2 linked regions of the Elephas maximus indicus genome follow. The protein of the gene in region 1 interacts with the protein of each later gene in a pairwise test. Links are inferred from orthologs where the notes say so. Each region holds a gene or a part of one and is shown on either strand. Other genes may lie near its edges. The genes, in order: BAD and YWHAH.

What was found.
Region 2: the proteins of BAD (region 1) and YWHAH interact in binary tests that used the Homo sapiens proteins (3 or more experiments, as listed by UniProt). The link is inferred for Elephas maximus indicus from reciprocal best matches to the Homo sapiens genes BAD and YWHAH.

Annotation. Positions count from the first base shown.
Region 1 is NC_064825.1:127,463,071-127,477,529, forward strand, and holds the start of BAD (bcl2-associated agonist of cell death), read right to left. Parts: upstream 5,563-14,459; 5' UTR 5,549-5,562; intron 5,456-5,548; exon of another isoform or gene 5,365-5,455; intron 5,101-5,364; 5' UTR 5,093-5,100; coding exon 4,906-5,092; intron 1-4,905. Other genes in the region: integral membrane protein GPR137, read left to right, coding at 5,563-5,640, 7,258-7,629, 7,719-7,768, 8,559-8,784, 8,921-9,070, 9,180-9,308, 9,447-9,565, 9,818-9,977; KCNK4 (potassium channel subfamily K member 4), read left to right, coding at 13,352-13,540. UniProt on the Homo sapiens protein: Promotes cell death. Successfully competes for the binding to Bcl-X(L), Bcl-2 and Bcl-W, thereby affecting the level of heterodimerization of these proteins with BAX. Can reverse the death repressor activity of Bcl-X(L), but not that of Bcl-2.
Region 2 is NC_064840.1:24,246,724-24,261,407, forward strand, and holds the start of YWHAH (14-3-3 protein eta), read right to left. Parts: upstream 7,153-14,684; 5' UTR 6,925-7,152; coding exon 6,838-6,924; intron 1-6,837. UniProt on the Homo sapiens protein: Adapter protein implicated in the regulation of a large spectrum of both general and specialized signaling pathways. Binds to a large number of partners, usually by recognition of a phosphoserine or phosphothreonine motif.

The sequences.
Region 1 (14,459 bases):
AGAGTTATAAAAGCGCACAAGGCGGTCCAGTCACTGCCCTTGGGGCACAGAGGCCAGACAGGAAATGTGAAGAGATACCACCAAGTGTGAGCTGAGAGGGGGCAGTGACCACATGGCTCTGGCAGGTCATTGGCACTTATGGGATTTTTTATGGGAAATCACTAAGACATTGAAAAGTACATCAAAAGCATCCTGTGTAGCCCTCTGAGATGGTGGCAGTTTTCTCCCCCGCAGCTGTCCGTAGGCTAGGTCTGGAGCTGGGGAAGTCCCCTGGCCCTTCATTGCTATTTCAGATGGTTCTCCGTCTGTGTCACCCCTTCCCCTCCATGCCCCCCGTGTCCTCCACCTGCAGGTCACAGCCCACCTTTCTGCCCAATGTCACTCCCACTTTCTGCATCACTCCGCTGGTCCTTATTGATCCACAGGTGTTTCAATGTACCCGTAAGCAATTCTTCCCACCTCCTAGCCTTGTGCCCTCCTTCCCCCATCATCTTGGCCCCCAGACTCTCATCCCCATGGGTATAACCCAGACCTCACTGAGAAGAGATTGGGCTGGCTGAATGAAATAAAGGCTACATTTCAAGGCCCTGTGTGCTTGACCAGCTATAATTAGTCTCTGAATCTAAACCTAAGTGCAGACCACCGTACAACTTTTGCTCCTGGCACCCGAAAACTACTTGTGATTAACAAACTAGGTGCTTAGACAAGATAAGGGGCTACATTTCAAGGCCCTGTGTGCTTGACCAGCTATCAATTACTGATAATCCTCCCGAGTTGTTTTTCAAGGCATCACCAGCTGCAGAGCACGCGCAGTAAAGATCAACATGGACTATAAGTGACCTTCCACGTGAGACAAACATGAACAGGGACCCCTCGCCGGGGCTCAAACCAAGATCCAGAGGCATCACGCATGCACAACATCCCAGAATAAGTCCTGTTTGACCTCCCGGCAGCCTTTGTGACAGACTCCATCTTGGTTCCAGCAACCTCTGTGAGGAAGTCCATTTTGAATTCTAACTGAGCACCCATTTGATTTTCATAATCCCTCTCCTTCTCATCGAAATCTCCACCCATCTAACAAATAAAGATAATGCATTCCTCCCATCCCCCCCTCCACAAAATTTTATAAGCCCTAGGGAATCCTCTGTCCAGTGAGAGACTGGAAGCTAGCATAGGTGGAAAGCCCTCTCCCTCTCTCCCTCGCGAGCCTTCTACCCTGTCCCTAGCAAACTTTTGTTCGTGTGGAACCTCTGAGCCTCTCCTGGCCATTTGTGGTCAGAAGAAGGTAAGAACCTAAGCAGGGCTTAGTCCCGAGCTGGGAGCTGGGAAGCCCTGCCCTGTAACATCATCACTGCCAATAACAGCAGCCCACTGACCGCCACCTACCTGTCCAGTTCTCCCCCTCTGGTGCTTGGCTCCAACGACACCGCTGCTGTGACTCCCCAGGGGCTTGCCCGCTATGGTCAGCCAGTTCTTGTCCCTTCCTTGCACACACCCTCAACCCCTTGCTGGGACAAACAGCCTTTTTAACTCCGCTCCCCTGCAAGTTCCCACTGAGAGCGCAGCCACGCCGCCTGCTCTCACTTTAAATTCTCGGCCACAAAGCCCAGTTGCACCCTCCACATTGCCCACCACTGCTCCCAAGTTTCAAACCTGCTCCTATCTCCCCACAGCCCCACCCCTCCTCCCTATCCCCACTCCGGGCTTCCTTACATGGAAGAGAAACTTCTCCCAGTTCCCAGGCTGCATCTACATCCACTCTGCCCCTCCCAGAGCTGCTGCCTCCTGCCTCTAACAGAGAAGTTGCCTCACCAGCCCCCTCCTCAGGTGCCATGCCGGCCCACTGTCCTGCAACACCCCTGCACCGTGGAGTGGACCCCTCTCCCCTGGATGGGTCCCAGTAGCCTAGAAACCTGGTATCTTCTTCTTGGATCTTAAAAACCAACCCTCTCTTGACTGTCCTGCCTTCAGCTGCCACCCCATCCTCTGCTGCTCTTTGTGGGAGCACAGCTGTCAAGAGTGGGTTCTCCCGTCTGCAGTTCTTCTCTTCCCAGGATTTCTACCCACAGCTGTCAGAGCCCCTCCCCCATCAAATGGCCCCAGGTGTGGCCTCCATCGCCAACTCTCAGCCCTTACTGAGGAGTGGGCCGACCCCCGCCCCAAGCGTCCCACTCAGTTCATCGCCCACCCGGCATTCACCACCATGCAGTGGCTGGCGCACACCCCTCTCTTGGTTTCCTGTCCACCTCACTGCCCGCTCCTTCTCAGTCTCCCTTGTGGTTTCTCCTCCTCTTGCACTTAAGGCTAGAACGCAGCCCAGCCCTCCGTCCTCTCCAGATGCTCGCCTCCAGGTTCCTGGGCCTACGTACACTGAAAGGCCGACCACTCTTCATTTATAAATGCTGCCAGGGCCTTTCCTCCGCTGGAAACCCCCACTTGGAGGACTAACGGGCACCTCTAACCTCACATGGCCCAAAATGGGCTCCCTATCTGCCCCCCACCCCAAGGCTCCGTCTTGGTTAAAGGAAACTCCATCCATCCTTCTGGTTGCGCAGGTGAAGCTCCTTGGAGACCTCCTTGACTCAGCTCTTTCTATTCGTCTCTCAGCAAGTCCTGACAGCCCCACCTTCACAATCAATCCAGCTCCTTCTCACCACCTCCACTGCCACCTCCCTGGCCCAAGTCACCATCTTCTCTTGCTTTATTTACAGAAGAGAAACCTGAGGCTCAGAGAGGTTATAGACTCACCCAAAGCCAGCCAGTAAGCATGTATGTGGCTGGGGTGCAGAGAGCTACTGGGCAGGCGGTGATCTTAGGGGGTTCCTACCTCCAAGGTGGCCGCTGCTGGTCGGCTGCCTCTGCTGGTGACTGGCGTCCCGCAACAGCCTCCCCTCTGGCCTCCGCTTCTGCTTTGCCCATTACAGACCAGTCTCAACATTGTGGCCCCAGGCACTCAGCAAACCTGACCAAGTCCCCTCTGCTCTCAGCTCTCTACTGTTTCTTTTCAGAGTATACGCCACAGCCCTTACAATGGCCTTCGAGGCCCTGCCCAGGCCACCTGTCCCCCTCATTAACTCTGATGGCATCTCAACTATTCTCCCCTGTACCTTCTTTCTCCTCTCCGGCCTCACTAGCCTGGACCACGACTTGCCTACGGGACTTTGCATATGCTATTCCCTCTGCCTGGTACTCTCTTCCCACAGACACTTGTGTGGCTCACCCATATCCCCTTCAAGGTTTTGCTCAAATGTTGCTTCTTACCAAGGCTGACCCTGACCCTGGCATCTCAGTTAAAATCCCATGGCCAGTCCTCAGGACTCACCTGACTCTGTTTGCATACACGCCCCTCTCCCAAGCACACATTATCTTCCCAGACATTATAGCATTTCCCTGTCTGCTTGTTTGTTTATGGCCTGTCTCTCCAACCCCACTAGAATGTAAGCTCCACAAGGGCAAAATTTTCATCTCTGTGGTCACTGATGAAGGAGTCCTGGTGGCGCAGTGGTTAAGGACTGGGCTGCTAACCAAAAGGTTGGCAGTTCGAACCCACCAGCCACTCCAAGGGAGAAAGATGTGGCAGTTTGCTTCTGTAAAGATTTACAGTCTTGGAAACCCTGTGGGGCAGTTCTATTTTGTCCTGTAGGGTCGCTAAGAATCAGAATCGAGTTGATGGCAACGGGTTTTTAGTCACTGATGTGCCCCTAGAAACGGGGACAACACGTGGGACCTGATAAAAGGAGGAAGAGAACACTGAGGGGGTCCCAAGGAGGGGTGGGTACGTGTTGTTATTCGCCTTCCAGTTGATTCCCACTCATGGTGAACCCATGTATGTCGGAGTAGAACTGCTCCGTAGGGTTTTAAGGCTGCGATCTTTCAGAAGCAGACGGCCAGGCGGGTCTTTTCAGTGCCTCTGGGTGGGTTCGAATCACCAACCTTTCAGCTAGTAGTCAAGTGCTTAACCGTTTGCACCACCCAGGGTCTCCTACTAAGTACTCAATAAGTGGAGGAAGAGAACGATGAGGGAGCCCAAAGGAGGGGTAGGAAGAGCCAGGTTGGGTGTGGAAACAGCTGAGAGCAGAAAAAGCTGCTTGAGGATCCTCTGCAATTCAGCCTGACAGGACAGAGTGTGCAGGAAAGAGGGAGGGGAGGCCACCCAGGCCTTCCTGTTCCTGAAGAAAATGGGAGTTATATAAGCTTCGGTGGGTAAGCGACATGGTCTGGTGTGTGTTTTCAGAAGGTCTCTGTAACTGTCTCAGGTGCCAAGGCCCGTCCCAGGCACCAGGCACGTGAAGACTATAGACAAATGGCCACTGCCCGCCAACGTCCTTCCATCCGGGCTGGGCCTGAGTAGGTGGGAAGGGCAACCAATAGCCTGTGCTGGAGAGTAGACAGCTCTTTCCAGCAACTTCCCACACCACCCCCTACATGGCCACTGCCTGGGAGGACTGTCTGCCACTTCAGGTAACCTGCCCCAGCAACTGTGCAAAAATAGCTCAGTCCTAGGGTAAGCAGGTAGCCTACGGCAGGATGTAGCCTGGACAGGCCACCAAGGAGCCTTCCACCCCTGCCTCCTACCAAAGGTACCTCAAGCATGACCTTAGTCAAGTCACTTCCCCTTTCTTGCTCTCTGCCTGCTCCTCAGTGATTTCTGTCCTGGCCCTACAACAACAGCTACGTTTTTTGGAGCATCTCCGATGTGCCAACACTATGACAAAGTGCTTCCTATATATTGCTACTAATTGCCCCGAAAACCCTACAATAGTGATGTGATTCATTGCTTTATTTACAGAAAAGGAACCTGAAGCTTAGAGAGGTTATAGACTCACCCAAAGCCAGCCAGTAAGCATGTATGTGGCTGGGGTGCAGAGAGCTACTGGGCAGGAGGTGATATTAGGGGGTTCCTACCTCCAAGGTGGCCGCTGCTGGTCGGCTGCCCCTGCTGGTGACTGGCGTCCCGCAGGAAGCCTGGGGCCACACGGTGGCGGTCGCTGGGGCCTGAAGGCCAGTACCCTTCGGGGCTGGGGCCCAGGGCCCTGTCTGCAGGGGTGGAGTCTTCCCGGTCACTCTGCTCAAACTCTGGGATCTGGAACATACTCTGGGCTGTGGGGGCAAGATGGTGGGTGGTTAGGGCACAGCCGGAGCAAACGGGAACCTGTGGGGGTACAGCAGAGACGTCCCTGGCTCACTCTCTGCCCCTAGAGCCCGCCTGCCTCCCAGACTCATCTGTCTGCCCAGTCTGGCTCTGCCGGGTGCTCAGCCTGTCCAGCTGGGACCTAAATCTTCCCTTGGAGCACTGGTGCTGTAGGGCAGCCCCAGACCCCCACCCAGGCCGTCTCTCCTGGGATGACCGCACACAGGTCTCACCCCAAGCCCGATCTCGAGGCCCCTGACCCGGGCCTGCCGTCTCCCTCCAGTACTGAGGGCGCCCTGCCCTAGTTGCTTGGGCAACGGGAACTGTCACCGGCCTGGCCCAATCAACTCGTGAAATGTCACTCGGGCTGGACAGGAGGCGGGCCCACTCTATACCGGCCCCGCCCCACCGCCCAACCTGCAGCCCGCCCGATGATCTCCTGCGTCCCTTCTTCTTCTCCGGATGTTCAGCTCCCGACATCCTCACGCCTTGGGCGTGTGTGGAAGCCGGTGAGGGATTCTCTGGGGGCCTCCATTTGGAGCCTGGAGACTCGTTTCTGCTGATAAGCCCTTCAGCCCCTCCGGGGCTTAGTTTCCACCCCTGTAAAATGGGGATAATGACACCTCCCTCCGGAGCCAGTGAAAACTTTGTAAACAGAGTGGTGATTACTGTGGCTGAAAGCACTTTGCAAAGTCGCAGTTGACAGTCAGAAGTCGGATGCAATGACTTGCTGTTGTTACGGTTCTGGAGGGGTGATGGGGTCGGCAAGTCCCACTCCGTCCTCTTCCCTAGCGTGGGAACCGCGCCGTGGAAACCATGCCGCCCGCAACAGGGCACCACTCCCCGCGCCATCTCTGGAGCATCCGAGATAAGAGAGGGAGCCTCCACCCTGGCCGGATGACTGCCCGGGGCGCAGAGAAGGCGCAGGGACCCCTGTGAGGGTGACCCATAGTACTCGCGACGGTTTCGCCCCTGGCAGGCAGCATGCAGGCGGCCGGCCAGGTGAGCGGGCATCACCGCGGCGGGCCAGTTCTTGGGGCTGGCTGCCCAGCGGGGGCTCCGGGGTCCAGCGGTTTAAGACCCGCGGAGTCGGGGGGGAAGGGAGGCAGACCCGGAGGCCATCTTGGCTATGGGCGGAAGTTCCCTTCACAGGCGAGGTGACGAGAAATCGTTGCCGCCCCCCGCCGGGGACACGATCCGGGTTTGGGCATAGAGAGGAGAAGGATGGGAGCTGATGGGCCCCAAACCAGCAAAGGCCAGTGGTCCAGGCCACGGCCCACCCGAGCGCTAGTGGAATGGGGCGCGGCTCCGGCGTCTAGGCCGCCCGCCGCCTCTCGTAACCCCTGGAGCCCGCTGACGGCGCACCTCGCGCCAATTCTCGAACGGCCCCACGCCGGGCGCGGCGCGGGGCTGCGGAGCCGAGGTCTGCCCCTGCGCAATTTGCGTAGCGAACGGCGCCCGCGCAGGCGCAGAAGGGGGCGGAGCAGCGGGAGCCGGGGAGCCGGAGCCCCGGGTCCCGGCGACCGGAGCCGGCTCCCCCAGCGGCGGTCTGAGGACCAGACGGCGGTCTCCACCAGCCCCCCGCGGCTGGAGAGGAGACGCGGTGGGGGGTGGGGTGGAGGAGCGTGCGGAATCCCGAGGAGAGAAGGCAGAGGCGCCCCCATTCGGATTGTTGGAGGGGAAAGAACCCTCCTAGCCTGAGGAGGGGGAGAGCGGGGCTTTGGGGCGCCCCCTGCAGGGGCCGATACCCTGAGCGGACGCGCATCGCCGGCTCTCCCCCTCCTGCTGACACCGGCACGAGTCAGCACAAGGCCGGGGATCCCTCTCCTACAGCCTCTGCACCTATCCACCTGGCTCTGGGGTGGCCCAGGGAGGAGACCCCCATCTACCCTGGAGAGGAGAGGCTGTCCTTTCACGCCCCTGAGTGACGGGGCCGGGGCCCAGGCTGCCTGTGCCCCGCAAAGACGAGAATCCCTCTGGTGAGGGGAAGGACCTGGCCAGCCACAACGCCTTGCCCCCTGAGCTCCCTACCTCTGTCTCAGCACCCACCCGCAGTCCCCTCCCCTCCGTATTTATTTCCCTGGGCACTGGCCAGCCCGTCCATCTCTGTCTTCTCCGGGATTCAGGCCTCCCTCCCTGATATGGAGAGTAACCTGTCTGGCCTGGTGCCTGCTGCTGGGCTGGTGCCTGCGCTGCCACCCGCCGTGACCCTGGGGCTGACCGCCGCCTACACCACCCTGTATGCCCTGCTCTTCTTCTCCGTCTATGCCCAGCTCTGGCTGGTGCTCCTGTACGGGCACAAGCGGCTCAGCTACCAGACGGTGTTCCTGGCACTCTGTTTGCTCTGGGCTGCGCTGCGTACCACCCTCTTCTCCTTCTACTTCCGAGACACCCCTCGAGCCAACCGCCTGGGGCCCCTGCCCTTTTGGCTTCTCTACTGCTGCCCTGTCTGCCTGCAGTTCTTCACGCTGACGCTAATGAATCTCTACTTTGCCCAGGTAACCGTGGTAGTGGGTAGTGGATGGGGGCTGGTGGGGGGTGTCAAGCGCCAAGGGCCATAATGAGTGATGGGCATTTCTGCACCCAGGTGGTGTTCAAGGCCAAGGCAAAGCGTCGTCCGGAAATGAGTAGAGGCTTGTAAGTACTTGGGGCCCTGATGAGCTCTGCCTCCAGGCCAGGGGCAGGGAGCAGCCCAGTGTCCATCCTTTCCTACCTCAAAGGGCTGAGGCAAGGGCAACCCAGGGAATGTTTGTGAATGAGGTTGTTGTTGTTGTTAACTGCTGTCTAGGTGGCCCCCGCTTATGGTGACCCCACGCACAACAGAAGGAAACACTGCCAGATCCTGTGCCATTCCCATTGGAAAAGTTAAAGTACCTGGCACAGATGGCTTAGCAGAGGCGTTGCGTATGTGAAAAACAACAATAATAGAAGCAGTAGCGATACTGCGAGGGGTGAGGGTACCAATGTCATCCATGACAGAGGATGCTCCGAAACCAAACTGCACCCTGGGTGACATGGGCCTATGGTCCCGCTGTTATTTACATAAAGTTTTACAGTTTTATAAAGAGCTTTTACAAACACTGTTAATCTTTATAACTAACCTGATATTATCCATATGTGAAAGATGAAAGAACTGAGGTCCAGCAAGGTAAAGGAACATGTTCAAGGTCACAGAGCTGGCAGGAGGCAAAGCCAGGACTCAGACCCAGATTTTTGACTCCCAGTCTCAGGCTCTTTCCACTGTATCACAGCCGTCAGCTACCGCCTGACTTCTTTGGACCTCAGTTTCCCATCTGTAAAACTAGAGGAGCAGGGTTCAGGTTGAAAGATCTGTGGTTCTGATCGGCTCTGGGGGCTCCTTTGGGAGGTTAGGTGAGTGGTGAGCACCAAGTTCAACCTTCTGGGCTGACTGTGCTGTGGGCTGCAGGCTGGCCGTCCGAGGGGCCTTCGTGGGGGCCTCGCTGCTCTTTCTGCTGGTGAACGTGCTGTGTGCTGTGCTATCCCGCCGGCGCCGGGCACAGCCCTGGGCACTACTCCTGGTGCGCATCCTGGTGAGCGACTCCCTCTTCGTCATCTGCGCACTCTCTCTTGCTGCCTGCCTCTGCCTTGTGGCCCGGCGGGCCCCTTCCACCAGCATCTACCTGGAGGCCAAGGTAGGGCCACAGGCTCTAATGCCTGGGTGTCCTTTGGGGTGTCTGGGCAGCCATGTTTGTTGGACAGCAGCCTTCAGGATAGAAAGGAGGCTGGAATCCACTCCTTCCTGATGGTCACCGTTGTTATCTGTGGCAGGGGACCAGTGTGTGCCAGGCAGCTGCAATGGGTGGTGCCATGGTCCTGCTCTATGCCAGCCGGGCCTGTTACAACTTGGCAGCCCTGGCCTTGGCCCCCCGGAGCCGGCTGGACGCCTTCGATTATGACTGGTACAACGTCTCTGACCAGGTGGGCGTTCAGCAGGTCTGCTGCCTCCTAATAGCCATGGCTCCTGGTCCCTGTCCCAGTGCCCCATTGGCACAAACGCAGATTGGCGTGAATCCCTGCCTTCCCCTAGGCGGACCTGGTGAATGACCTGGGGAACAAAGGCTACTTGGTATTTGGCCTCATCCTCTTTGTGTGGGAGCTGTTGCCCACCACCCTGCTGGTGGGCTTCTTCCGAGTGCACCGGCCCCCACAGGACCTGGTGAGTGCCTCCACCTTCCTCTGCGGGCCCAGTGGAGAAGGGTGGATGCTGGGAACCCTTGGGCTGGGCTGGGGGGTGGTAAGGGAGCTTGGTGGGGGCCAAGAGAAGGCATCCATGGTGGCTTTTTCCCCTCCCCAGAGCACCAGCCGCATCCTCAACGGGCAAGTCTTTGGCTCCCGATCCTACTTCTTCGACCGGGCTGGGCACTGTGAAGATGAGGGCTGTTCCTGGGAGCACAGCCGGGGTGAGAGCACCAGGTAGGAGTCCCTACCCTGCCTCAGGCCCCCTGAGCCATGGCCCTCCCCCAAGGTTTTTGTTTCCTTGTCAGTATGAGGTGAGGCCCCCTCCTTCCCATCTCCCCCTACTCCACCCAAAGATGCAGTTGGGCAGAGTCTGGGGAGGGGAGCCCCTCCCACCATGCTCTGTTCTAAGCCTTTTTCCCTCTCCCACCTCTTGTGAACGTGGTCCTGGTCACTGCCCTGGGACTGACCTGGTTTCTCTACCCACAGCATGTCAGGCAGCCTAGGCTCCGGCAGCTGGTACGGCTCCATCGGGCGGGAGCCGAGCTGGTGCGGGGGCAGCCAGACGCGGACTACTCCTCTGCTCTTCTCCCAGGTGCCGGGACCAGGCGGCCATCACCACAGCCTCTACTCTACCCCCCAGACGTGATCCCCCACCCTTCTAGGATGCCCAGACCCCAGTTCCCCTCCCCCTCAGGCCCCTGAGTCAAGTTCATTTGCTGCTTCTTGCCCAGGATCCTAGGGGCTGTAGCCGCCTCCTTCCCTGGCCGGCTCTTCGGCTGCTCCTGTTGTAGTGAGCTTGTGCCACCCCCTAGGGTGGGGGACATGGCCCTGGCTGCCAGATGCCCACAGCACCCTGGCATGACCTGCCATCTTTGCTTCCACACCAGAGCCAGCTACCTCTCCTGCATCTGCCACTCGATAAACAGTGTCTGTGCCCAGTGTTCATTTGTCTGCTTCATCTTCCTCCCTCATCGCCACCGTTTTGGTCAGCTTCCTGCCTTGACCTCATGCTGATTAGACACTGGTCCTTGAAGGCAGCCATTAGCCTGGGCTGGGGCCACTTACTGAGGTGGGTGGGCAGGGTGAGGAGGAGCCTGCTGTTTGAGGGAGGGGCAAGGGAGACCATTCAGCCCTTTGTTTTCAAAGCTCTCTCGGCCCAGAAAAACCCCATTCATGCTGCAGTCCCCTCCCCACTTGAATAATTTCTACTCTTTTATCAGGATCTGTTCTAAATGTCACTTCCTTTATGAAGCTTTCCATCCCTTGCTCACAGAACAGTGGCCCCTCTCCTGGGCCCTGTATCCCTGTGATTATGTGATTATTATGCTTCTTGGTCCCTATCATTTGGGATTTTGGAGCCTGTTTCCCTGTTACCACCCCCAACCTGACCTTCAGGTGCCAGGGGTTAGCCCAGGGCCTGCAGAGGTGTCGACATGGTGACTGAGCAGCCTACACCTCTAGGAAGGTGTGAGTTTCGCCTGGTGGGTAGGGCACCCCCACCCCTGAGGCCCTCTTTTCCCATGTGCCCACAGCCTGTTAGCCTAACATAGATCTGCCCCACTGCTGGCAACCTTTATTAGAGGGTTTCTCTCCTGCCCACATACCTGACTGCCCCAGCTCCTAGGGCCCAGCACCAAGCTTCCCTGGCAACCCTTCACCTGGGACTATCCTGGCATCAAGCCCAAAGGGCTGCCAGATAGGGCAACTGACCAAAAACCACTTGTGGTGGAAAAGGACATAGCTAATATTTGTAGGCTACTTTATTGTGTGCCAGGCTCAGTTTTGAGCATTTACACACTCCAACCTCTAATGTTTAGAACAGCACCTTCGGTGATCATTCACCATCCCTCTTGTGTAGATGAGGAAGAAAAAGCTCTGGAATTAGGTGACCTGTCCAGGTTTCCTACTGGGAGGGGTTGGTCAACCCTAAAGCCGAGCTGGAAACACGTCAAGAAGGCTGAGGTCTGGAAGCAGCCAAAGAGGAGGGTCTTTGGAGATGGGATGATAGCATGGAGGGGCAGCGTTCCAGGACCAGAAGGGGGCCCTGGTTGTGCAGGCAGTGGGGGAGGGAGCGCTGGCACTAGTCCATGTTGGGACTGGGGGGCAGCTCCTGGTCCAAACCCCTGGGGCTGACCCCTGGGCATAGAGTTGAGCACTAAGTGGGGGGGGGGACAAGGAGGAGGTGCAGGGGGTGCCGCAGCAGGGACTTCCCAGAGCTGGGTCCCAACCCCCACGCCAGCCAATCCCAGATGGCCTCTGAGGGATCCTCCAGCCTTGGTCCCGCGGGGACCCCCTCCCTTATGGTGCCATCCTCAACAGAGTGCTGAGCCCAAAGACCGAGCTGTCCCCAGGGGCGGGGAGATAAGGGCCCATCCTGATCCAGTAATGGGCCTTGGAGAGGCCCGGAGACTAGCGTGGCGCCGGTCCGGAGAAGTGGGCCCACTGATGTTCAACCGGGGACCAGCCGGCCGGCGGGACAGCACCAGGGCTCCAGTCCGAGACTCGAGGCTGGATCCAGCGGCGCGCCCTCTCCGACTCTTCTGCGATCCGCCGCTCCAGGCAGGGCTGGATTGGAAGGCCGGCGGCCGCAGGTAAAGGGCTGCTGGGGCAGCGCCGGCGGCGAGGGAGCGGCACCGAGGACGGCGCGGCGCAGGAGGGGTTAAGCGGGGGGGGGGGCTCCCGGCAGCGGGAGGGGGTCTCAGCCCCGGCGGCCGCCCGCTCCGCCCCTGCAGCCGCCGCCTCCGCGGCCCAGCCGGCACCGGCGAGGCGGTGCGGGAGCCGGGCCGCAGCAGCAGCCGCAGCGTTGCAGACAGTGAGTGCGGAGGGTCAGGCGGGCGGGGCAGGGCGGGGCGCCCACCACCGTGCGGGGCGCCGTCGGGAGTGGTCCCACGCTGCCCGTCACGCTTGGAGGCGTGGGCGTGGGCGCGCGGAGAGGCGAGAGAGAGCGGTGCGGCGTATCTGGGCCGGCGCGTGCTGCGCGGTGGCCCGCGGTCTGGTGTGTGTGCGCGCGCGAGTGTGCACACGTGTGCGCGGACCTCGGGGCGCCTCCGCGCAGCGCGCACCGCATGGGGTCTGGGGTTGTCCGGGAGAGTGCGGGCGTGTGCAAGTGGAGGGCGTGCAAGCAGCGGGGCGGCGGCGCACGCTGGAGCCACAGGACGGAGCGGGGGCGCGCGGGGCTTTGTGCCCGCGGGCGGTGGAGCGTGTCCTGCGCGGGTGCTCGTGGGCGCCTGCGCCCGCCGGCCCGGGGGCTGACGGTGTCTGTGGGCTGCTGCGCCGGTCCAGCCCTTCCCGCCCCCGCCGCTCCTTCTGGGAACCCGGCGCCCTCCCTCTCTGCGCAGCGGCGGGACCCGCCCCTGGGTTCCTCGAAAGCCCGGCGGGGCGCAAGGGGGGCCGACCCGGCGCAGCTCCTGCAGAGCTGGGAGAGGCAGGAGAGGAGAGAGAAGCGGCGAAAATGCTGCCTCAGCCGCAGCCAGCGAACCGGGACCTGCCATCCCTGGTCCCCGCCCTGCGCGGGCTGGCCTTTCTGTGGGCTTCGCCTTCGCGCGCCTCCGCACCCCTCTGCCTCTGCCTCAACGGCCCGGACCTAGTGGTTTTCCACGCCCACTCCATGCCCCCAGCTATCCCTTCGCACGCTCTGTCTCTGTTTCCTTTCGATTGCCTTCCTTTCCCTCCCGGTGCCCTCTTGTCTGCTCACCCCCTGAGTACCTGGACAGGGGCTGAGGGCCGGGCAGTGGAGGTAAGGGATGGGCCGACGACAGTCTGTGCAGTGAGTACTTGGTGGACCTTGGCACCAAGCGTCCAGCCAGGGGATGTGAGGAGGCGGCATCCATGGGCAGTAGGGCCGGGGACTCCAAGGACCTTAGAGTGTGTAGGGGAGAGACAGGTAGGGGGTAAGGGTGTCAGGCCAGGCTATTGATCCCAGCATCCCTCGTTCTGCCCACAGTGACCACAGCTCCCCAGGAGTCCCCTGCCCGGCCCCCCCAGGCGGGGAGTGGAATTGGCCGGACCCCTGGCCGCGCCATGCGCAGCACAACGCTGCTGGCACTGCTGGCCCTGGTCCTGCTGTACTTGGTGTCGGGTGCCCTGGTGTTCCAGGCTCTGGAGCAGCCCCACGAGCAGCAGGCCCAGAGGGAGCTGGGGGAGGTCCGAGAGAAGTTCCTGAGGGCCCATCCATGTGTGAGCGACCAGGAGCTGGGGCACTTCATCAAGGTGGGTGGGCGAGAGCCCCTTCATTGGTCACCCATGCCAGGGGGGTCCTGTGCTGAGATATGCTGCTTCCAGACTAATGCTCGGGGGTGGGGGGGGGCAGGGGGCAGCTGGGGTGGGGTGGGGACAGAGACTCTGATCCAGGCCTCTGTTTCTCAATATGGAGGCTATGGGTCATTTGTTTTCCTTATGGTACCTGGCACAGTGCCGTTGTCCCAGAACATCTCCTTCCGTGTGTGATGGTGATTGAATGAAGGAGGGAAAGTAGGAATAAATGGCTGTAGCACGTAGGGTATGTTCCATTTTCACAGGTGTCACTCACTCGTTTAGGGTTAGGGTGGCAAGATAAAATCTAGATGGGCAGTTCAACTTGAATTTCAGATAAATAAGAAATACCTTTTTAGTGTAAGTATGTCCCAGGCAATATTTTTATTTGCTAAACTTGGCAATGCTACATTAGTTCTGACACATTTTGGGAGTCACAGATCCCTCAGAGAAGCTGGTGGGGAACATTGTGAATGCTCCCCTCACCCCCAGGAAAGTGCCCATATTAAACATGTACAGATGATTCCAGAGAGTTCCAGGATGCCCTAAAGCACTCCCATGCCACCATGGCTGCCAGCTTAAGCACTCCTTTTCCTCCAGGACACATGTTTACCATGGGGAGGTGGGAGGGAGGCCAAGGCAGGGATGGGGGGCAGCTTCAGGCTTCCTTGGAACACTCCTGATCAACCTCAATCCAGTGGCTAAAGAAAGTTCTAGGCTTCGGCCTTCTGTGATATAGTCAGGCAAGTGCCTCTGTTGCTTTCTCTAATTTCTGAGTCGCTGTCACATAGAAAGGAGTTCTGGAGCCACAGTGGTTAAGCAGTTGGCTGCTAACCGAAAGGTTGGTGGTTCATACCCACCAGCCTCTCCAGGGGAG
Region 2 (14,684 bases), on another chromosome or scaffold:
CTTCCTTTAGGGACCACTGGACTCTGCCAGTCATTTTACCAGTGTCCTCACCACACACCCTTCAGTTGCGCCAACTTCCAACCCCAGGGGACCTGCTTCACCCATTTTCTCTGCTCTGGAACTACCCACAAAGCCTAAGAACCTGGCTTGTTATTAATTCCCTTATCTTCCTAAAACACCACTCCCTTACTCAAAAACCCCTCTGTGGCCTCCTCCCACTACGCACAAGGCAATAAACTATGTGTTTGTGAGTAAAAATAGACCCACTGCCAAAAATAGCACAGGAACTACTCGGGAAAAGTTAAAACTCTTAATCTGGGAGACATCCAACACCACAAATAACACTGAACAAAAAACGCCACCCCTGAGCTGCCAGGCCCTACTGTCAAAGTGGAGGTCAATGTTAACTTCTCCCGACCGCTGCTCCCATCCTTCATAGCCACACCTGCACCTACACTCCCCCTCACACACACACTTACAAGCAGTCCCATCCCATCCCTTTATACTCATACCCACACACACTACCAAGGAGCCTCCTTCTGATGAGTTTGTAACAGATGAAAACGATTCTCATGAACAATTATGTAAACATAACCACATCATAAAACCTTCCAAACTTCTTTGCAGAACCCTGAGATATAAAAAGGGAGCTAGAAAGAACAAAAGCTCTTCCTCAAACTTCAATGCCCTGAAAGTGAGGATCCTACCTGGTCCCAAGCTGGCAAAGCACCTGCCATCAGTCATCACTTGCCCAGGCCTGGCAAAACCACTCTCTCCTGGCCACTGTGCAAGGAACATTCCCAAGCCAGGGCTTGGCTGAGTCCCCTACCCACACTATGGCAAGGCTGCAGTTCTATGAGGCCACCAGACAGGACAAGCTTAATTAATACAGGGCTTCAAACCGGTTTCTTCTGGTTCGACCCCTGCTGAGAATCTGCATTTCTACCCCAGACGTACTGAAGCAGAATCTAGTTATTAACAAGATCCCCAGGTGATTCTTATGTGTAATAAATTCTGAGAACCACTGCTCTACTAGTAGTGCCTAACCAGCAGTATCAGCATCCTCTGTGAACTTATTAGAACTGCAAATTCTCAGCAGGGGTTAGAACCAGAACCAACCAGTTCAAAGCCCTGAATTAACATCAACCCTAAGCTTAAAGTTAGTGGAGACTTCCTTTGTCCTGTTTGTTTTTATTGTGCATTAAAGATGAAAGTTTACAAAGCAAATTAAGCTTCCCACTTGATAAGTTTGACATACAGCGTTCGGTAACACTGGCTTCATTCCCCACAATGCGTCAGCACTCTTCCCATTTCCATCCTAGGTCCGTTTCCTTTTGTCCTGATTTTCTATCCCTTCCTGACTTCTCATCTTTGCTTTTGTGCAAATGTCACCCTTTCATTCTCATATAATTGGTTGTTCTAAGGAGCGTGTTCCTCTCAGGTGTTATTTTATTGACCTGTCCATAGTTCGGCTGAAAGGTGGACTCCAGGACCAGCTTCAGATCCAGTTCAGAGGGGTGTCTTAGGCCCACAGTCTCAAGGGGTTCCTACAGTATCTTTAAGACCAGTAAGTCTGGTCTTTTTTGTGAATTTGATTTTTTGTTGTTGTTCTACAACTTTTCTCACGTCTTTGTCCTGTTTTTGACATAATTGGACATTTTCGTACGGATTGACAGGGATCAAATGCAACGCCATCTGAATGGCATTACTGCATGCTACTGTTCCGGAGGCACCAGGGCTGAAGTCCTCAGAAGCTGTGCCAGGTTCCTATCAGAGAAGTGCCAACACCCACCACCAAAGAAGGAAATGCCACACCGCAGCAAGGACTGGGAGGAGCACAACGCTGGGGAGACAGGCTGCCTCAGCTGGGACACAGGAGGAATTTACCAACAACCTGGAGATTGAAATGTGGGGGCCCTACAGGCTTATAAAATACACTAATATGGAAGAACTGGTGACAAGACAGATATTAAAGGATTTCTCAAAATACCACAAGTATAATTTAGCAATCCTACATTCCTGAGTCCGTAGCAGGGACTCAAATTCAATACTTTGCTTTTTAAGCAATTAAAAAAAAAAACTTCCGGCCTTCAGGAGAACAAGCAAAAGCCAGATTTGTGAGTTTGTCTTTTATGCCTCTCTGCTCTAGCTAAAAGTGGAAAATTCTGTTTTTAATCGACCTTGGCAAAAAATCACTTACACCCAATTGATGAAATTATTTAAGTTTAATATTTAATAAGCTCGCTTTTCAGAATTTGGCCACCAATTACAACAATGGCAAAAACACCAGAATGTACACTAGAAATATTATTCCTTAGCCTCATGGAGCACTCTAAATTCAAGAGTTTAAATCTTGGCTTCACAACTTATTAGCTGTTTATGAGAAAGTTAGTTAATCTCTTTAATCCTCATTTACAACATGGAGTTAACAACAGTGTCCATATGGAGTTGTATACGTAAGGAATAATTGCTACCATTTACCGAGTACTGGTGGCGTAATGGTTAAGTGCTACGGCTGCTAACCAAGAGGTCGGCAGTTTGAATCCACCAGGCACTCCCTTGGAAACTTTATGGGGCAGTTCTACTCCGTCCTTTAGGGTCGCTATGAGTCGGAATTGGCTCCACGGCAGTGGGTTAGTAAGTAAAACGATAAAGAAAATTCCATAAACTTGGTGAATTGTAATATGGAAAACACATTGGGGATACCCCCTTTCCAGACCATATCTCTGGAAAAGTACGACACTGCAGTTTACCACTAATGTAAAATCCCAAAGGAGAAACACATTTTTGGTTTCTTTAAAGAGGTGTGGTGGGGTCCCTGACCGTGGAGCTCTTTTGGGGCTAATTCAGGAACCTCCAACCCACACTCCCCACTTCAGCACAGCAAAGCTATGTGAACTGTCTGCTGCCTTTACTCCTAGTTGCCATCCAGCCAATTCCAGCTCCTGGCAACCCAGTGTGTCAGAGTAGAACCGCGCTCCGTACGGTTTTCAATGGCTGATTTTTCAGACCCCTGGGCTTTTCTTCCAAGGCATCTCTGGGTGGACTCAATCCACTAACCTTTCAGTTAGCAGTCGAGCACATTAATCGTTTGTACCACCCAGGGACCTGGTGGGTGGACCCAAAGCACTAACCTTTCAGTTAGCAGCCAACATTCAGACGCAATATTCTCTTACAAGAAGCCAGAATCCTCACAGATACATGACAGTGATAATTACATTTCAAGTGACCAGTTAACGGGAAACAGGGCTCACTAGCTTCTACGTATTTCAAATTCTAGTGGCAACACTGCTTTAACCACAATTTTGGTGCACCTCGAAACCACCCTTGGTTTTTTTATCTGCAGCACGTCTCATCCTGGGCTGCCCAGCACGAGCTCTCCTTTTACATACCACCTGCTCATTCCAATAATCTCACAGCTGTTGGAATAAGAGCCTTGGGCCACCAGTTGGGCCAAGTGCCTCTTCCTCTCTGACTGCTGTTTTCTTATGCTGCAGCTTTGTTTCCTGCACTTAAGATTTCTACAGGTATCCCTGAAGTCTTTCAGCCATATTTCTCCCTGTCCTTTATATAATTAACCCGTATCATGTTAAAATATACCACGCTTTCTCAAATAATGTTTCATAGCTACAAAATTACCATCTATATTAGTTTTAATATAAAATAGAAAGTTTAGAACAATAAGAGATATGACTGAATTATTTCCATCCATGAATATTTACCAGAAAGTTACCTGGTTATTTACCTTCTTTCCTTAGTCTTACAAGCTATATTTCTATCTGACTTTATAGTTTTATTTCAGCTCTCATAAGATGTTATTATATCAGTTTTGCAGAGGTTATGAATTGTGTATGGTTATTCAAAGCCTCGCCTAAAAAGTACTCGGGTTCTAGAATCTTCCATGTTTCATCCCACTATTACTTCTATGTCTATGATAAAAGTACTAGAGAGATGAGAAGAGCTTGAAGATATTCCTTTACTTCAGTTCAGAAACATTTCTTGCCTCTTCAAATTATGGGGTGAGGCAGGACATTTAAGTTCTCAATTTGAGGTAACACCGTTGTTTCCAATATGCATGATTTTTCTTAAAGCTTATGATATCCTCCTCCAGGTGACACTGGCAAGCATAAGGGACATCAGTCATTACAAGCAGGCATTATTAGTAGGCGACCACTTAAATTACAAAGAAAATAGAAAACAAGTTAGAAGACTGGGGCTGGAGGCTGACTTGTTAGTAACACCAACATTCCTACTTTTACGCTTTAAGAGAAACTGAGGCCAAAGATGTTAAGGTTCGACCTTGCAGAGTGGTGGTGCCTGAACATCACCCCCTCCCCAGCAGTCTATGTGCCCATCCACCATCCTGAAGAAAATCCCATAAGCCCAGAGGGTTACTAGAATTCAAATTCTTTCCAAAAGCTCTATTTAAGGCCTATAATGTTAATAAAACAGGGGCTGTACCTTCCCAAAAACATTTATGAAGAATTCAATCTACAAATGCCAACTTAATAGGTAAAACATAAACTCTTTCCCACTGACCCCTGCCAAGTTCTTTCCAACAAATACATCCCATTAATTTAGATGAGAAATAAAAATGTTTTAAATAAATGAAACAGACAAAAAAGTTCATATTTTTAACTAGGAATTTCCTTGAGAAAATGGTTTATCACAATTTTGAGATAATATAATTAAAACTTGGAATGAACGGTCAATGCTGCTGCTTTGCCCGACCCACCAATCATTTCAGATATAGATATTAGAGATTTCCAGCAAAATGAAGGGTACAGTAGCTTGTAAAATGCTATTTTAAAGCCTCAGAGAAAAATCTGTGGATGAAGTAGCTAGCTGCAGGATAGTATTTTCTAAGCCTGTTTATGAAGACCAGAAAGCCAATTTTTTTTTTTCTCTGCCCAAATTTCATTCTGGTAATCCCTTCCCATTCTCTCTCTTCTTACTTCCCATTCAAGTTGCCTCGCATTTCCTTTAGCTCCAGAATGTATCCTCTAGCCATTTTTTCTCAACTTCAATTCACCTTCCTTCACACCCTAGCCCTACTTTCAGCATCCTTATTCCTCAAAGGCCTCCTCAGACTGCAGCCTTGGTGAGCAAAATACCTCACAAAAATGTGCTATAGAAAGGCCTCAGCCTGCATGATCCCAGTACCACTCCAGTACCAGGGGAGAACAGGCTCACTTAAGGTGTGACTTGCTGTATGCACAGAGGTGATTTTATTCCAGAGAAAACAACGATTCAGGGCCCCTTCCAAGGAAACGTGTTCACACAATCAGTCCTGTTTCTGTAAAATTTGCAACGTTAATATATTTTTATACTTGTGTTTTCTTAAAGAGGATCCCCAAAATTACATAAACTTCAGACCCCAAACTAAGATCCTGCCCTGGTTTGGATGAAAAGCTCCTATCTGACAACCACACACTACAGTGCTCAAGTCAAGATCACCAATGAATGCACAAAGGGGCCTGTAGTTGCTTTCCAAACACAATTAGTTAAATGTATAATAAGACCACCACAGGAAATGTCTTCAAGCACCTTTTTTACCTGGATAATCCTAAAAATTGGCCTCAACCACATATTATATGTTAATACCAAAAGCCTTTTTTAAATGAGCATTTCAAAAGAATCTGAAATTTCAGGGAACCTCTGGGTTTGAGTTTTTCTTTAATAAATCCCTTCACAAGGCCAGTGAAAGGGCAAAGAGCAAATGAGCTATAATCCACGGCATTAACTCTCACATTTAAATTCACTAAAAACTGGCCAGAGGAACTGGTTAAAATGCAGATTTTAAATCCCACTCCCTTGAATTTCTGAATCTTTAGGACTAAGGTGGGGCCAAGGGGACCCTTCCAGGTCTAAGGAGGTTGTACACTGGACGAAGAAACACAGGTTGGTGGCTCCAGTTGTAGGTCCACCACCGCATGACCTTGAGGCAGAGAGAAGTAATGTTCGTTTAGACAAAATGTAAAATACTGTGAGAAGACAGGGATAGGAGAAAACAAGCGGAACTCTAAATCTCAGAAACGCAGGTCGTGTCTAATCCACAGCGTTTGCTAGGGTGTGGCTGGCACGACTCCTTCACCGGAAATGAAGCTGCAGACGGTGAAGCTGCAGACTCAATCTACGAGGGTCTCGGGAAAGGAAAGGCACACAGGTTCGTCTTATCTAGAAATCACGCTCATTTTAATGTCCAGGCAGATGGGCGCCGCATCGAACCCGGGCCACAGCCAGAATGGGCCCCGGCCCGCCCTCCGCCGCGGCTGGAGGAAGGGGTCTCCGCACACAAAGCCCGAGTCGAGCGTGGGAAGGTGGAACGAGAACAACTCGGGCGAGCAGAGCCAGGCAGATCGGAATACCCCGACTGCAGGTCTCGCAGAGAAAAGCAGCAGACACGGCTCCACGCGCTCGAGGGTTCTACAAGGTGGGGTGGGGGACGGTGAGAGGGGCTGGGCCCCCAGGTGCCGAAACAACGATCTGGAAGGAGGAACGTGGCTCCCTCACGTTCCCTCGGGCACCCCCTGCCCTTCCCCAGGGCTCCTAGCTGGGATGCGGCGACACCCCACCCACCGCCCCCAAAGAGGGTTCCGCCGCCCGTCCCCGTGGGGCAGCACTGGCGACCGTGAGCGGCTCCCTGCCCACAGATCCCACTCTGGGGCCGGCCGCAGGAAATGGCGGGGCGCCCGGCGTGCGCGGGAAGCGCAGGCTGCGGGCGGGCGGGCGGCCGCGCCCTGCGGGGGCGCCCAGGTCCTAGGGCAGACCCTGCCGGCCGCCCATTCCTTCCCTTGCTGGGCCTCCGCCGGCCGCCCGGGCCCCTGCCGCGCTCACCGCCTTCATGGCGGAGGCCATGTCGTCGTAGCGCTCCGCCTGCTCGGCCAGCCGCGCCCGCTGCAGCAGCTGCTCCCGGTCCCCCATGTCGTCGCGCCTTAGCCCGCTCGCTCTCTCGCCCGCTGCTGCTGGTCGCCGCGGAAGCCGCTGCGCACGCGCACTGGGTCCGGCCGGCCCGAGGCTGCAGGCAGCACCGCTTTCCTCCGCTCACTGGCTCGCCCTGCGCGTTGTGGCTCCGCCGCGGACGCCGCCAAGGGAGAGAGGCGGTGCGTTGAGGTGGGGGGGCGGAAGGACGCCTGCGCAGTGGGAGCTGCCCGGAGGGGTGGCGCGGAGAGGCGGGAGTGGAGATGGGGGAAGGCGGGCCGGCTCTAACGGTCTATTTCAAGGTGACGTCACCTACTATAAATAGCCGCCGCCGCCGCCCCGCCCCGGAGCCGCGCAGGCGCTCTGCGAGTGCTGCATTTTACTGCCGCAGAGGTGGAGGTGGGAGTCGAGAGCGGCGCTGGAACGCTGCGGAGCCCAGGGAGGGGCGCGGTGATGGTGGCTGCACAGGCAGCGGGATGTCGCAGCCCCATCCGGAAAAGCGCCGCTGAAGCCGCATTAGCTGTCTGACTTGAGAAGAATCCAGAAGGGAAAGCCACTGCGTGGAGAAGCTGGAGGCCATGGGCCCAGGGCGGGCCGGGCCGGCCGGCCCCTGCGTCCCGCCTGACCGGAGCCCAGCCTGGCCAGCGGCTTCGCGGGCCACACCCTGCAGTCTGGTTTGCACTGGCCTGGCAGGATCAGGTCCACACTTCCCTGGGCTGCAGGCAGTGCCTTCCACAAGAGGACAGTCACAGCACACTTCCTAGGAGCCCGCCCAGTGCTGGGCCTGTACCGGCATTCTAGTTGATCACCACAACCCAGCTCGAGAGTGAGCCAGCTGGTGTTCCCACCTTCCAAATGTGGAACCTGAAGCAGAGTGAGACTAGTGACTTGCTGAGGGTTACACAGCCTGTTAAGTGGCGGGGTCAGGATCTGGGTTCAAATTCAGCCTGGACTCCTTGCAGGGGAAGAGGGCGGCGGATTGGCAGGCTAGTCAGTAAGCCCCTCCCAGCCCTGGCAATTGAGGGCTGAAGGTCCCTCACGCCCTGCCTGGGCGCTAGCCAAGCTAAGAAAATCACTAGGACTAAACACCGCCCCAACTTACAAGTTGCCGACTCTAGCCAGGAGAGGGGGCGGTGGACTCTCTTGAGAATTTTATTGAGCACCTACTGCATGTTCAGCAGTGAGGATAGGAAGCTACTGAGTTAAGATTCAGCCCTTGCCCCTGAGAAGCTGAGGTCTAAATACTCAAGAACAGGTAAGCTGGACTTGAAGAAAATGAGTCAGGAAAAATGTATTATTAGGGAGTGGGATGTAGCCTGGACAAAGGCTTCGCAGTGAAGATAGGAACAGAATTTGAGGGTGAGAAGTGAGACCTGGCAGTGGGAGATGAGGTTAGGTGGGGCGAGATTACTGAGTATTTTAAATGCCAGACTGAGTATTTGAGGTTTTATTCTTAGGTGCAGTGGTTAAGAGCCGGGCTGCTAACCAAAAGGTTTGAACCCACCAGCCCCTCTATGAGAGAAAGATGTGGCAGTCTGTTCCTGTAAAGATGACAGTCTTGGAAACCCCATGGGGCAGCTCAGCTCTATCCTATAGGATGAGTATGAGTTGGAATCAACTCCACAGCAATATGTTTTGGTTTTGAGGTGGTGAAAGATCCCTGGGTGGTGCAAATGGTTGGTGCTCCACTACTGACCTAAAGACTGAAAGTTCAAATCCACCCAGTGGTGCCACAGAGGAAACCCTGTTGATGTAGTGGTTAAGAGTTTGCCTGCTCATCTGGGTCTTAAACTCTAGCAAGCAGCCATCTAAGATGCATCAACTGGTCTCAACCCACCTGGATCGAAGGAGAATGAAGAACACCAAGGACACAAGGTAATTACGAGCCCAAGAGACAGAAAGGACCACATGAACCAGAGGCTACATCATCTTGAGACCAGAAGAACTAGATGGTGCCCAGCTGCAACAGATGACTGCCCTGACAGGGAACACAACAGAGAACCCCTGAGGGAGCAGGAGAGGAATGGGATGCAGACCCCAAATTCTCATTAAAAGACCATACTTAATGGTCTGATACTGGAAGGACCCCGGTGGTCATGGCCCCCAGGCCTTCTGTTGGCCCAGGAGAGGAACCATTTCCGAAGCCAACTCTTCAGACATGTATTGGACTGGACAATGGGTTGGAGAGGGATGCTGGCGAGGAGTGAGCTTCTTGGATCAGGTGGACACTTGAGACTATGTTGGCATGTCCTGCCTGGAGGGTAGAGGGGGTTAGAAGCTGGCGAAATGGACACGAAAAGAGTGGAGGGAGAGAGCAGGCTGTCTCATTAGGGGGAGAGTAATTGGGAGTATGTAGCAAGGTGTATATAAGTTTTTGTGTGAGAAACTGACTTGATTTGTAAACTTTCACTTAAAGCACAATAAAAAAAAAAAAAAAAGTTGGCCTGCTAACCAAAACGTCTGCAGTTTGAATCCATCAGGCGCTTCTTGGAAACCGTATGGGGCAGTTCTACTCTGTCCTGTGGGGTCGCTATGAGTCGGAATCCACTTAGTGGCAATGGGTTTGTTTTGTTTTGGTGCCACGGAAGAAAGGCCTGGTGATCTGCTTTCATAAGGATTACAGCCAAGAAAACCTTATGGAGCAGTTCTACTCTGTAACACGAGGGGTTTCCATGAGTCGGAATCAACTCTAAAGCAGTAGGTTTGGTTTGGTTTTTTTTTTTTTTTGGAGGTGGTGAAAGTCATAGTTCAGGACATGAGTCTGGCTCTGGAGAGTAAGATACATATTAGAGGGGTGAAAAGGCAGGGCCTGAAGATTGGGTGTCTTCTGGACCTCAGCTTTGCCATCTGGAAAACTGGACTTGGACTATTGAAAGGACTGGAATAGAAATCTGCACCCTGGAATGTCAGAGCAAGCAGGGCCCTTAAGGAAAAAAAACCTATCTATCCTTTTTTCTTGCATAAAGGGAAACTGAGGACTTAGGGAGAGGAGCGGCCATCCCCATTTGCACATACCTGGTTTCCTGCCTCCCGGACCTTCTTCTCCCCTTTGGAATACTAAAATGAGGACATCGGCACCCATGGAACAGGATTTCGCTGTGGGTCCAGGACGCCCCATCTAGGCTTAACTGCGCTTCGTAGAATCACCTTTGCTGACTAGAAATGGAATCAAGGTTAACAAACCAGGCTGATCCTCCCCCTAGTGAATATCTTTAAAGAGCATGCTAAACAAAATGCTAGATAATAATTAATCCTCTCCTCCACCCCCACAAGGATGGGGTTCCAGTGGGAGGTGGAGAAGGGTCCAGGGCTGGTTGGGGGGACCCCCACAACTACTTCTAGTCCTAGAGGCTTTGCTTTTCTGATCATGTTGGGCTGAGATTGAATCCAAAACAGTGAAATACAGAGCTGGAGCATTCTAAATTGATTTTGGCTAGGTTCATAAATGATGAGTTCTTCCAGGAAGCCTTTCTTTGCTGCTCACCAAACTTCCCTTTCTCCACTTCCTCACCTGCCACCCGCTGCTCAGCCCACTGTGCTCTGGCTCTGTCCCCACTCCTCCAGCTAGATGGCCCTCTTCGAGGCCATGTGTGGCCTTCTTGTTGCCAAATACAAGGACACTGGGTACTCTTCACCTCCTGGTCCTCTTGGACACAGCTCTCACCCAGGGGTGGATTAACCAGGGCACTGTATGCACCGTATACAGTAAGCAAGGTAGCACGGCTTAATTGTGTTTACCTACTAATCTGAAGTGAACAATTTCACCTGTCTTGCCAGTTACCAGGTGAAATTGTGCACTGTATATTAGTAAATCAGCATGGCTAAGCTTGTGCCTATCTTGCTTATTGGGTAATCTGCCCCTGCCACCCCTCCTTAAAACTCTCCACTTGACTTCATGACCCTACACTCTGGTTTCCCCTCCATTCCTCTGGCCACGCCTTTCGTCTTGTGTGTGGACTCGTCTTCTAGGCCTACCCTGAAATGCAGGGTTCCTCAGGGCTCTGTCCCAGGCCATCTTCTCACTCTGCCCCCTCCTGTATGACCTTGTCCACCCTCACTGTTGGGAGGAAGGAGACATCTACCATGTTGCAAGCACCACGGATGGTCATAGTTTTTCCTCAGGCTCCCCCTGTAAAAAAAAAAAAAAATTTTGTAAGGTAGGTACAATTTCCATTTCTGTTTTACAGGTGAGGGAATGGGCACAGAGATGTTCCGTGACTTGAACGAAGTCATACAACTGGTCATCAGCAGACCTACAATTCAAACTCGGGCCCCCAGATTCAGACTCTCAAGCCTGATGGCCCCATGCTGCCCTGGTCTTCGCTGAGACAAGCTCAGACGTGACTCCTTTTTCAAAGTCATTCACATTGTGAAACGCACACACAACTTCCAACCTTTTAGCCTGTACACTTACCAGCATCCATCTCCTTTTGCGCCGGAGAGAGAGCTACCAACTACCGCGCACCAAAAAAAAAAAAAAAAAACCCAATCCTATTGCCATCAAGTTGATTCGAACTCACGGCGACCCCATGTGTTACAGAGTAGAACTGCTCCATCAGGTTTTCTTGGCTGTAATCTTTCCAGAAGCAGATCGCCAGGCCTTTCTTTTGTGGCACCACTGGGTGTATTTGAACTGCCCAACATTCAGGTTAGTAGTCTAGTGCAAACTGTTTTTGCCGCCCAGGGACCTGCCAACTCCTCAAAACCTCACAAACAAAGATTACAACAACCACCTTGGACAGGGCACGCGTTCCCAGGACTCTCGCCTTCCAAGCAGGATACCAGGTTTCATTCCCAGCCAGTGCACCTCGTGCACAGCCATCACCTGTCTGTCAGTGAGGCTTACATATTGCTATGATGCTGAACAGGTTTCAGTGGACCTTCCAGATTAACATAGACTAGGAAGAAAGGCTGGTCATCTACTTCTGAAAATCACCCACTGAAAACCCTATGGATCACAACAGTCTGATCTGCGGTCTATATGGGGGTGGCGCAGGACGTAGCATTTTGTTCCATTGTGCACAGGGTTGCTATGAGTCAGAGGCCGACCCAACAGAAGCTACCGGCAAGTTTTGATCAACAATTATCTCCTTGGAACAACTCCAAAGAGAGCTCCTGAGCGAAGTGAAGGAGGCCAATGGTTAATGTTAAACATAATGTGTTCCTTCCTTAGGGGGCCAGAGCAGGTCCCATAGCAGGGTCCAGGTTTGCATCTTCACCTGGCATAGTGTATCACTCAAGGAACAGACCCCACCCCCCTGGCTTCCTGAGAACTGTGTGTGGTGTGATGGGGGAAAAGAATCTGGTTCTAGAGCTGCTCTGCCACTTACCAGAGTAACCTTAGGCAAGGCACTTGTCCTCTGTGATTATGTTTTCTCCCCAGAAAATGGGTCTAGCCACACTTGCTTCCTAGGGTGCTTGTAAGAATCAGCAAGAGCATGTCTGTACTATGTCTGCCTGAGCAGCACATGGTAATTCCTGGCTGTGTACCACTCTGTAAGCCAGTGATGATGCTCCTTGCACTCGACTAGATTTCTAAAGCATTGCCAGAACCCTCAGCTGGAGCCCAGAGAATAGGTGACCCAGAAAAGGCACGTCTGTTTTTCTTTTTCTTCAATACTCTGGGCTGCTCTGAACTCCTTGAGGAGCCTGGACAACAAGGAGCATATTACAGAGAGGACCCTTTTGTTCCAAGGAGATGGTATTTACACTGTTGGCATGGTTACCATCTTGAGCAGGAGGGGTCACCTGCCCACAGATCTGTGTCACCCAGATAGGATTTTAACTTTTCGTGTTTTTTTCCAAACGCAGGCCGCCTGCTGCCAGCGTGACCTTGCTGATCCGAAGCCAATATGATAATGCTAACTGCAGCTCTTATTTATTAATCACTTACATATATTATCTCACTAAATCCTCCAACCCTGGGGGGTGGTTGGTTATCCCCATTTTATGGATGGGGAAGCTAAGCCAAGAGAGGCCAGATTCTTGCTCTATGGTCGAGGCAGTCACAGGGCCTCCTCCAGCTCACGCCATTTTCTGCTCCTTCGCCTTGGCCCTGGGTCCTTTTGCTGATATCAAATTCCACCCCTGTGTCTAAGATCAGCCTGAGCACACAGATTTCTGGATTGACCCAGAGCCTTCCACCACTCTTCCAAAGCGCACTTGGGGAGCAGATTGGCTCTTAAGGCAGCTTTTGGCATTAAGAAGTGTGAAAATGTCCTGGGAGCTGCAATCTGTGAGCTGGTGGAGCTCAGAGCCCCATTCTCACCACCCGCCCCCCTAAAGCATGTTCAGAGGAGCCTGGCTCTGGGGGAAAGACAAAGCTGTCACTTATGAAATCACAGTTAAAATGAGAGAGGAAAAGGCTTTTGCTTCAGTTCTGTAGCTGGCTGGGTAACTTGTGCTTCTTGGCCAGAAATTTCTAGATCCTTTGGCTTAAACCATCTGGATAATTGCCTCAAGCTTCTGCTTGGTTCCCTCTGGGTGGGCCTAGGCAAGGAGGGGCTGCTGCGGTCTGGAAAAACTGGGGGTCAGGATTAGAGAGTCCCTTGATCCCCCCTACCTGCATGTACTCGCCTCTGCTTGTAACCATAGCTGAGGGCCCTTGGACTCATTACTTCTGCGCTCTGAGCCTTGGATTTCTTATCTGTAAAATGGGAAGCTGCAGAAAACAGTTTGGCAGTTCCTCAATAAGTTAAACATAGAGTAACCATATGACCAAGCAATTTAAACAAATAGTAGCATTACTCACAATAGCCAAAAAGTGGAAACAACCCAGATGTCTACCAGGTGATAAACGGATAAACAAAATGTGGTATATCCATACAATCAAATCTCACTCAGCCATCAAAAGGAATCAGTCAAGTATTGATACAGGCTACGATGCGAGTGTACCTTGAAAACATTATGCTCGGTGAAAGAAGTCAGACACAAAAGGTCTGGATGATTCCATTTATATGAGACATTCAGAATAGGCAGATCCATAGACACAGAAAGCAGATTGGTGGCTGCCAGGGGCGGAGAGAGAACTAGGGAGCGACTGCTAATGGGGGCAGCAGCGGAAAGAATGGTGATAAAAATATCCTGGAGCTAGATGATGGTTGCAGGGCACTGTGAATATACTAAATGCCACATCAGATTGTGCACTTTGAAATTGTTAAAATGGTGAATTTTGTTATGCAAATTTTGCCAAAATAAAATGGCAGCCCATACTGGCATGTGGCAGCTCTGATAGTCTAGGGCGTTTCACCATTGAAAGTTCAGCAAGTAATGGTGTCTTAGTTTTCTAGGCTGTAGTAACAAGCACCACAAAGTGGGTGGCTTTAAAGAACAGACATTCATTGTCTTAGAGTTCTAGAGGCTAGAAGTCCAAATCAGGGTATCTGCCATGTCAGTTCCTTCCCAGGGTTTTGAGAGAAGAATCACCTCCGTGCTTTTCATCTAGCTTCTGATTTCTGCCGGCAATCCTTGATGTTCCGTTGCTACCTGGAGATGTGTCTCCACGTGGCCTCTTCCCCCTGTCTGTGACTATGTCTCTGTGTCTATTCTGCCCTTTTACAAGGCACTCTCAGAAGGCATTAGGACCTCCCCTGCAGTTATGACCTTGTTAGCTTCACTGATAATATTTTTGAAAAAGGACTCTGTTTCCAAACAAGGTAACATCCACAGGAACAGGGGTCAAGACTTCAACATATATTTTGAGGGGACACAGTTCAATCCGTAACAGGTGGCAATGACAATGCAAGAGGATAGAACAGGGGTGT